Linked DNA regions of Kluyveromyces lactis. The protein of the gene in region 3 interacts with the protein of the main gene of each other region in a biochemical or structural test. Links are inferred from orthologs where the notes say so. Each region holds a gene or a part of one and is shown on either strand. Other genes may lie near its edges.

The links.
Region 1: the proteins of MCM4 (region 3) and SLD5 form a complex in vitro, tested with the Saccharomyces cerevisiae proteins (2 studies listed by BioGRID). The link is inferred for Kluyveromyces lactis from reciprocal best matches to the Saccharomyces cerevisiae genes MCM4 and SLD5.
Region 2: the proteins of MCM4 (region 3) and PSF2 form a complex in vitro, tested with the Saccharomyces cerevisiae proteins (2 studies listed by BioGRID). The link is inferred for Kluyveromyces lactis from reciprocal best matches to the Saccharomyces cerevisiae genes MCM4 and PSF2.

What each region holds. Positions count from the first base shown.
Region 1 is NC_006042.1:1,023,527-1,026,411, reverse strand, and holds SLD5 (DNA replication protein SLD5), read right to left. Parts: upstream 1,435-2,885; coding exon 556-1,434; downstream 1-555. Other genes in the region: serine/threonine/tyrosine protein kinase RAD53, read left to right, coding at 1-283; PAC11 (dynein intermediate chain), read left to right, coding at 1,746-2,885. UniProt on the Saccharomyces cerevisiae protein: Required for DNA replication. Functions as part of the GINS complex which plays an essential role in the initiation of DNA replication by binding to DNA replication origins and facilitating the assembly of the DNA replication machinery.
Region 2 is NC_006040.1:558,043-560,726, forward strand, and holds PSF2 (DNA replication protein PSF2), read right to left. Parts: upstream 1,162-2,684; coding exon 556-1,161; downstream 1-555. Other genes in the region: ARG2 (acetyl-CoA:L-glutamate N-acetyltransferase), read left to right, coding at 1,484-2,684. UniProt on the Saccharomyces cerevisiae protein: Functions as part of the GINS complex which plays an essential role in the initiation of DNA replication by binding to DNA replication origins and facilitating the assembly of the DNA replication machinery.
Region 3 is NC_006039.1:1,537,506-1,541,737, forward strand, and holds MCM4 (MCM DNA helicase complex subunit MCM4), read right to left. Parts: upstream 2,881-4,232; coding exon 202-2,880; downstream 1-201. Other genes in the region: KLLA0_C17490g (S10 family peptidase), read left to right, coding at 1-50; mannose-ethanolamine phosphotransferase GPI13, read left to right, coding at 3,462-4,232. UniProt on the Saccharomyces cerevisiae protein: Acts as a component of the MCM2-7 complex (MCM complex) which is the putative replicative helicase essential for 'once per cell cycle' DNA replication initiation and elongation in eukaryotic cells.

The sequences.
Region 1 (2,885 bases), on a different chromosome or scaffold from region 3:
ACATAAACAGACACAGGAGGAGTTAGCTTTAGTCCCTAAGTTTATGGAATTTATGAAGTCTAGATCATCACAACATGCCAAATCTAATATAAACCAGTCCTCTTCCAGTAACATAGATGCCAACTCGCAAAATATCGAGGAATTAGATTCTGTCGTTGAGATGAACTCGACTACAGGATTGAAAAGAATACATTCAGTGTCGTTATCTCAATCTCAACCGCAGACAACCAAAAGGGCTAAGCTTGCCCAAGCCCAGAAACCAGATATTGAAGGATTTCTCTGAGCTGATCATATGCTTGCCGGATGGGTTTTGCATACAGTAAATATGAAAAATAGGTACACTTTGAGTATGCTAGATAGACTTTTCAACGTTAATTGATGTAATACTAATACAAATTGGTTCAAAAGCACTATAGACCAGCAGTCAATAACACTAGGTAGAAAACATGCTGTGTTCGCAATAACATTGTTGAGAAATTATTGCTGGCAAACATTCGTTACAAACCTATATTTTTCGAAGAGTCATAGGTTCAGTAATACTGTTCAGAATTTTCATTATATTAAAACTACTCGTCCCTCAGTCATGAGATCTCGTATTACACTATAACGTATTACGTATACTGCCCCGATTAATAAGTAAATTTCTTCATTTAAATCTTCAATAATCACTGAGTAACAGTGTTTTCCATCATCATCGGTCGTTAATTTCGAATCAATACCACTTTCGTCAACTACCCCACCACAAACTAGTATAAATACAGTTTTATTCCAATCGGGTTCATCAATCATACTGATGGAACCCTCAGTATCGTTAACGGCTTGCAGTTCTTCTGGTAAGTGCTTAAGTACTGCGTTGTTAAACAGTTTTAGTAATATGTCAGAATGCTTCATATGGTACTTCACCTCTTCTTTGGACATCAATAAATCTAGTCTGCTGAGGCCCGCATTATTGGGTAGTTCGGATTGTTGTCTTAGGTAAATGCTGTATTTGTCAATTTTGCTTAACCGGCATCTGATGAAAGATCGAACTAGGAACTTCAATCTCTCAAGTTCTGCTTCCATGCATAAAAGTGGTAGCTTTGAATCGACAGTTAACTCTTGATTATCTTCTAAGTATCCCATTGATAGTGTTTCTATTAGTTCAATTCTTTCTTGAATCCTTATTAATGTCCTAGTCATGAGATGATGTGGATATGGAAGCAGCTCCGGACTCATACGTTCATTCTTCCAATGTGTAATTAGCTTTTGATAGTCGTCAATTTTGTTAAACTGTGTGGGAGCCACAGGGTCAACCGCCTTATCTGCTGGTCTTATCTGAGAGACATCATTGCCTTGAGTTCGATCGCTTTGGTCTGGGTATGAAGAAGCATTTTGTTCAACAGCTGTAGTGTCCCTATCCAGCTCAGCTAGAATGTCGTCAATATCAATGCTCATTGTACTAAAGAAATATGATCCTACCACCAGGACTCAAAGCGGAGGAAGTGTTCGGATAGTACACCGGGGTGGCTTTTATAATTGCTGTAAAGGTGTATTCAGACAAGAAGGACTTACTTGCAATGTGTTATCCTCCAACCTATTGTGAAATTCATCCAACTTACTGTAACATCGTATTTTTGATAATACTCAAATCTTATTTATCATCTTTTGTTTACGCTTAACAAATCCATACATGAAGCAAGATAAAACGCGTCAGTGAAGAAGCGCTCATCAGCAACACCAACCTCAGGGGGAATATACCCAGAAATATGGACAAGAATGAGCGCTTACAGTTGATGAAGCAGAAAATAGAGGCTCTTCAGCTGCAAAGGAAAAAAATTGATTCGAAACATGAAGAGATAGCAGATTGTACCCTTCCGTTCATTTCCCATATCACCAATTCCATAAATAACAACGAATCTGAAGTCAAGAAAGAAGTAAAAACTGTTGAGATCTCAGTGCAAACAGATGATGTAAATGAGTTTGAATTGAGCGCTGTTAAGGAGGCTGTGATAACATATGATATCGGAATACAGACAGATGAATATGACGGGAAACATGAAATTATGGAAGATGGACATCTACCTTCCCAAGATCTTATAGAACAGCAAGCATCGACTTCAGATATTACAGAGACCAAGGAGGATAAAGAAGTTGTTGAAAAGGATGTGTTTGATTTCGGAAATGTCGTTTCAGCGGAAGACTACGCAACGTTGAAGAAAGAAACATTTTCACTACAGGAGACTATAGAAGCGGCTGCGCTCAAGTCATCTTCTCATCAAATCGCTGGTGATGGGAAAATAAGCATGTATTTATCAATTTCACCAAAAGTTGCCATTGATTCAACTTCTGAAGCAAGGGTCATTTCCAGTGACGTCTTAGATAATTTACTGGTTACTGTGATTCATCTTGTAACCAAATACGTGAAAAGCTCTTTAGTTCAAATCACACACGTCTCTTCTGGTGAGGTACTTGATACAGTTTTATTCCAAGGTCAGAATGTTGTACGGAGCAAGTTTATTGATAATCCTAATTCTAAGATTACCTCCGTCGTTCTTTCTTGCTATACAGGAAAACTCATCTTATATGAACTGCGAACAGTCAAAATAAATAATAGCTTTCAGGTGGAAAGAAATATTGTTTCCACTAATTATCATCACTATCCGGTACTTTCAATTATAATTCCAAAATTCAATGACCATAGCATCCTGGCGGCCAGCACCAATGGCCAACTTAAGCTGATATCAACCTTAGATTTATCATTAAAAGAGGATGACGATGTCAAAATTATTCCTATCCCAAGGACGGACTTATCATATTCTACTGAACAGACTAAAAAAGATAACAAGTATTACCAACACCTATTGATAATGTCGCTTTATGACGAACTGAGCATAATTAGTATGCTA
Region 2 (2,684 bases), on a different chromosome or scaffold from region 3:
GTCTTCGTAGCGGGAAGTTATCAACGCAACCATGCTGCTCTCTATGAGTTCATCCTGCTCAATTTCTACTGTTATTGTTTTCTATCTACGGTAAATTCTTTTCCCAACGTAATATTGAAGAAACGTGATTCGTTTCCGTGTTTGTGTTCCCCCCTTGTGTCGTTTTCTGTAAGTTATACCCGTAGTTCAATGCAAGGAACCGAAATAGCCTGAAGAACAACAAATATGATGAAGCAAGAACGTGGGGTGCACACGCAAGGCATGCCCGCGAGGCATGTTTGCGACACAAACGTAAATAAGAACTAAGCAGTGCGTGAATGTTCGGGATGGATCAGTTGTTTCGAATTACTACAAACTGTGAAGCGGGTACATGTAGGGTATGTAATATATGTGTTATTTGATAGGCCTGTACTTACATGGTAACCCGACCTTTTCTAGTGATTATGGTCAACTGTGTTATCATATAACCATGTAGGTTGGATTAAGGGGAGGGACTGGTGGAAACCTCGTGAATGGAATTTTGGATTCAATGGGAAAAGGTTATTATATTATTGATCACGTGGTGTCATTACTGGAGTCATGAATTGTCCTCAGTTTGTCCATGATACCACACGCATAGGGTCTCATCTCATTGATTTCCATCAAGGACAAGTTCTCTAGCTGTAAATGCGATTCGTTCAGGTACTGCAAACCCTTGTTGACTTTTCCCAAACGAACTTCTCGCAGATCTTGGACCTTAGATCTCAGTAGATGAACTGGATCCTGAAAATCATCGCTGCATCTGGCAAACAGCAGTGACGATACCACTAGCCAATTCCAGGGTAGATTGGAGAATCGTGATGGGTTTTTCAATTCAAAATCTAAATACTTCTCCAGCTGTTGTAACGTCAGCCAACTGGGTACCACGACGTTACACTTTCCCTGTTGTTTTAACAGTAAAGCCAGCCATAACGTGACTTCGCAACTATTCATTGCAACCATGTTATTTACCGTAGAATCATCGCATGTGATCAGTGACCATTGGGCGCCAGGATCCTTCGCGAGCTGTTTTTTGGTCTTCCTCGTAGTGATTCTGGGCATAATTCGTGTCGGTTCATTTTCAATTAAAAACTGTATCTCTTGGGGAGAAAATCCTATTGATAGATCTCTCGGTAGTGCCATCTCTATTTCAGGTTGGAGTTGCTAATCTATAGTGTCCTCAAGCTCACTACTTCCTTACATAGTGCTTTCAATGCGCGACTATGACCAATCGATATCTGTGCTTCAATTATTTTTCCATGTTCAATCTTGACATTGAAATCCAGCACAGGAAAAACAAAAACAGGAAAGACTAACTAAAGCTTTAAACTGGCAGTTTTCTCTGATGACTTGACTCATTGATAAAACTAGAATAAATGATGGTTTTATACACTTTCCATATTTGCAGATAAATGGTTTGATCTCATCATATAACGTCCAAAGGCACATTTTGTGGGCTAGTGCTATGATCAAAACATGGATTAGGTGTTTGACCACAGAGGTCAGATACCATCAACCTAATGCTCATGGCAGGAGTTTGGTTATGAGCGTTTTGAATTCTACAGTGACTAAAAGGGAAGCGAAAGACTATTTGAACAAATATACCGATGAGAATAATCATCACTACTGTCTTGTATTTTTGAGACATTTGTCCGAATATTCAGATAACGTACTTAGTGGGTTTAGCAAGACTGTGTCAAGAATTCAAACACTCGGACTAAGACCAATTTTAATAGTAGACCCGCTATGCCAAGACATATCATACCAAAGTCAGCGTTTGGACAATCATTTGCATGATCAGAGTCTGAAGTCAATAATCGTATTAGATCCCATTACCATCGGTGAACGTGGCTCAATTGACGTAAAACTTCCGATTTTGAACCCGCATATTATTCCGATTATTGAGCCATATCAGTACCATGAGAAGGAAGCTTTTAAGAAATTGGCTGGCGATCCATCTCGATTCTTATCATCTCTAGTGAGTAACTTGCCCATAAATATCGACAAGGTGTTCCTTATCAGCAAGTATGGTGGATTGCCGTCTGTGGAAAGACATACAAACAGCCATGTCTTTGTAAATTTGTCACAAGAATATCGAGAATTGAGAAACAGTTATCAAAATCAATTGGAGAAACTAGAATCTATTCAAGTGGATAATACTGAGAAGAATTTGGTAGAATCTCTACAATTATTTTTGAATCAGGATAAGATTCTTAGTAACAGCGATCAACTGAAATGTCATATGGAAGACCTTGAAATCATGAATAAAACGCTATCAGTTCTACCACATTCGTCTACTGGGCTAATTACCACTATTTTAGCAGGGTCCAAATTATCAGATAATAACCCATTGGTATATAATATCTTGACTGATCGTTCATTGATATCGTCATCTTTACCTCGATTCAAAAGATCGGCTGCGGCTCAATCGAAAAGCTGGTATGAGCTTCCATCTTCCAACGTGGAAGAGGAAGTCACTTCCGCAAACGATTCAGTTCTTGTGACTACAGTTTTCAAGAAGGGGATTGATATCCATATATTTGACTTCAGGACTTTGACCGATGATAATTCCATAGGTCTACCACCATCGCAAGCTACTCAAACTGGCAAATCTGACCCAGTATCGAAAAAACTCGATTTGAATAAACTGAATGGGATAATCAATT
Region 3 (4,232 bases):
TGATCAACAGATGGATCTCGGGGGACCTTTCTTTAGGCTACTCTAACTAAATATGCTATTATAATGTCAAACACTTTCACGATGATATATACACAGAACGTATGTATATAAGCAGAACATGCGGAAGGTCGTTATTCTCATTTAGCCCTTTGCAAACTATGTAGAGGCTTTCTCAGAAAAACTAGACTTGATAATATCTATTCATACACGGCCATTCAAACGAATTGATCTTCTTAGACCTTCTCCTAAGATTACTACCTTGTCTTCTTGTTGCAATCTTGTCAAAGCGTTTGATAATTCGATACTCTCCACTTTATCTTGCGATTGTTCGTTTATAAGCTTGCTTAGTTCGTTGAAACTTATTGTGTCTGTTGTCCTTTCTGTCAATATCTTTAAAATTTCTCTCGCCAAGTCTTCAAGCAATTTTCTTTGCACAACCGATTTACCAGTTTGTACAAGGTTCATATCAATTTTACCAGTTTTAGGATCCGTAGCGTAATCTTTGATGGCAGACTTTATCAGTCTCACTGCTTCTTCCACATCTTCAAGTTCAACTCTTTCACTTAACCTCATCTTAGCATGAGCTTCTGAAAGTCTAATCATACTTTCTAACTGTCTTGTTGTTGCGGTAATTCTTTTTTCATCTGATCTACTGTCATCACCCATCTTTCTCATACCGACATATGCCCTCACAAGTTCAGTCTTGGCTGACTCAGTTATTACCGGGTGAATGTTTTGTTTTGCATAGTTGATGTAGGCTGTCAAGAATTCAACTGGTAGAATATCACCTTGAGATACAGAATCCGGTCTGTCTTCCAGGTATAAACTGGTTAAATGCTTAGCGAGTTCACGATCAGACGCTTCGTTGACCTTGTCAAGCACTAGATAAACGAGATCAAATCTTGATAATAATGGAGGCGGCAAATCAATATTTTCAGTCACAGGAAGATTAGGATTGTACCTAGAGTTGATAGGATTGGCACTAGCCAGAATTGAAGTTCTAGCATTTAAAGTTGTAATAATACCTGCTTTTGCAATAGAGATTGTTTGTTGTTCCATAACTTCATGTAATACTGATCTAGTATTATCGTTCATCTTATCAAATTCATCAATACAACACACACCACCGTCAGAGAGAACTAAAGCACCACTTTCCAACACCAGTTGCTTAGTATCCACATCTCTTGTAACATAAGCAGTTAAACCAACAGCAGAGGAACCCTTACCCGAAGTGTAAACACCACGAGGAGCAATCTTATGAACATATTGTAAAATTTGAGATTTAGAGGTCGAAGGATCACCACATAGTAGAATATTAATGTCACCTCTATATCTTCCACCTTTCTTGAAAGTTTTATTAGCACCACCAAAGAGTTGTAATAAGATTCCCTTCTTGACGTCATCTAACTCGTAAATACTTGGTGCGATGGAACGTGACAAAACATCATAGACATCCGATCGGCGAGCAGTTTCTTTGATCCTCCTAATGTCTTCGCTACTCAAAGTTCTAATCTCTTCCACATTATCAATCTGGTTCTGCAAGAGTTGTTGTTCAACAGTAGAAGTGTCCACACCGACTCTATCTTTAGCCACCTTTTGGATATGAACCACATCGATGTATGTCTTGTATAGAGATTTGAGGGCTCTTTGCTTTGGATTCGACCTGATTGGAATAGATCTAAAGATACCTGAAACCTCAATTCTATCACCAGCACGACACGAATCAACCAGCTCATCATATACACATAGGGAAACAGAGTGTGGAGTTTGTCCATCAGGGACTAGATCAGGCGTTTCTTGTAACTTTATCACTTGTCTGTCTTGGAAAGTGCACCTATTGTGAACTAAAACCATGGAGTTTGGGCTATTACAGACCACTCTGGGACATCTCACTGGTTCTTGAATAATACCACGATCGATCTCAACTTCTACAGTATGATTGCATACGTTACATTTGAAAAATGCAACACTCATATCTGGGATAATAGGTGTGGATCTTAGAACTAAACCTTTGATACTCACCAATTTATCAATATCATTAGGATTAAGCTCTCTCATACCCTTTTTGGTTTCCACATTATATGGTCTCACTTTGAACAACTTCGATTCAATTTCATTCAAGTAACTCTCTAACCCATTATCAAGTGCTAAGGATACCATACAATCTTTAACAGTTTGATCCATAATAGCTATAATTTCTTGAGGGTAATAGAGAATCTGATGAAACAACTTTTCAGTATGTTTATAAGCCAGTAAATTTCTGATATCAAGGTTCAAGTTTGAAGTACCGAGTTGTCTCATTTGATTCAATTGATTCACATAATACAGCTCTTGGTCTGTTGTTTCGTTGATGAAAATCTCCTGATCATCTAGCTCCTTTCTATATTTCAACTTGAAAGACATCAAAAATTCTCTGAAACTGTTACCACACTCTTGGATCGAAACATTGGTACCCCAGATGATCTTCAAAGGTTGATCAGCAGCTTCAGATGCAGGTCTCGATGATGATGAAAATCCATTATCCGATGAGGAAAGGTTATTGAAAGTGACAATTCTTCTGGGAGATGATAAGTCAGATGCATTAATTTCGCCTCTTCTAGATCTAGAGTGTCTTCCCTCTCTTGCACTTGAGGATAGAGAGGATGAATAGTTCAATAGATCAGATCTCAAATTGTTAGATCTTAAACCACTGCTACTAGGAGCGGCGCGAGCCGTCTCTTGCGTGGCATTTGACGAAGACGAAGGATAGTGAAACGGAGAAGAGCCTACGCCTCGGTCTTGAGATGCCTGGGAATCCTGTGTACCATGAGGAGCTGGAGAAGAGCTAGGATCATAAAACAAATTTGGTGAACTTGGTTGTTGAGCTGGAGGTGAGGACATAATATTGTTAACCGTTTGTCTTCCTGTGTTCTATGGATATATACTGCCACTATTATCCAAATGCTAATTCAGCAATTTTATCAAACCTACTAAGCAGCTAAATAATCCTAGGTTCCCTGATATATCACCTTTCAATTGATAATGTTATCTTGTTTGAGATGCTTTGAGTGAACTAAGTGAAACTCGTTAAGATTTTACACATTTTTGGTTACATAGTTACATTTCCTAAAGAAGAAAACAGAACAAATTGAAATAAACAAGGTTCTAATGAGCCCTTGCCACCGTTGATAATACCATGGATCCACTCAGCTCAATGGTCAGTATCTTCGCCGATCAGAATTGGAGTTGCATTATTTGAAGAGGGAACAATGATCACGTGATGTACAATTGTTCTGTTTTAAAAGAAATTAACCTTTAAAATGAAATAAAGTGGTAACAAGAACTCTGTCAGAGGCGAGAGATAAGCGAACCACTTTCGCCAGTGTGACTCAATTCTTCTGCACAATATCATTATTCAACGTGAATTTATTGTACTTTCGTTTAGTTGTGTTTTTGTCCCGTTTGGAAACTGGTAAGAAGTGATGAATCCCACTGTTAGTGATGAACGAGATCGGGCAGAGAGAATTAGACTCAGCATAATGGGGCCTCAAACGAGGTCCAGTCGAATGAGCTATCGGATATCAAGGTTCAAGTCTACGCACACTCTGTACATACTATTACTTGCTTCTTTGGCTGTATTGCAGTTTATTTCCATAGCATTTTTCGCAAAAGGGTTCCTTTTAACAAGGACGGTGTTGGATAACGTTGCAGAACTTGATCCCCAGCTTCCCTTCGAAGCTAAATACGATAAGATGGTTTTACTAATAGTGGACGCATTGAGGTTTGATTTCGTTATTCCAGTAGATGAAAATCATGCCAAGTACAACCCTAATTATCATAACAATTTGAAAGTTCTTTATGAGACGGCCCATAACTCAACGGATTCTGTCTTGTTGAAGTTTTTGGCTGATCCTCCCACAACTACGCTACAAAGATTAAAGGGATTGACAACAGGTTCCTTGCCTACATTTATAGATGCAGGATCGAATTTCAATGGTGATGTGATCGATGAGGATAACTTAATAAAACAGCTTTATCTGCATAACAAGAAAATATTCTTTGCCGGTGATGACACTTGGGATGCCCTATTTAATCCGTATTTGGCTCCAGAAAGTGTACCATATGAATCCTTGAACGTTTGGGATTTAGACACAGTCGATAATGGGGTTATTTCTTACTTAGAGGAGTATTATTTCAATGAAGAGAAACGGTCTGAATACGATATCTTGATCGGACATATGTTAGGAGTTGAT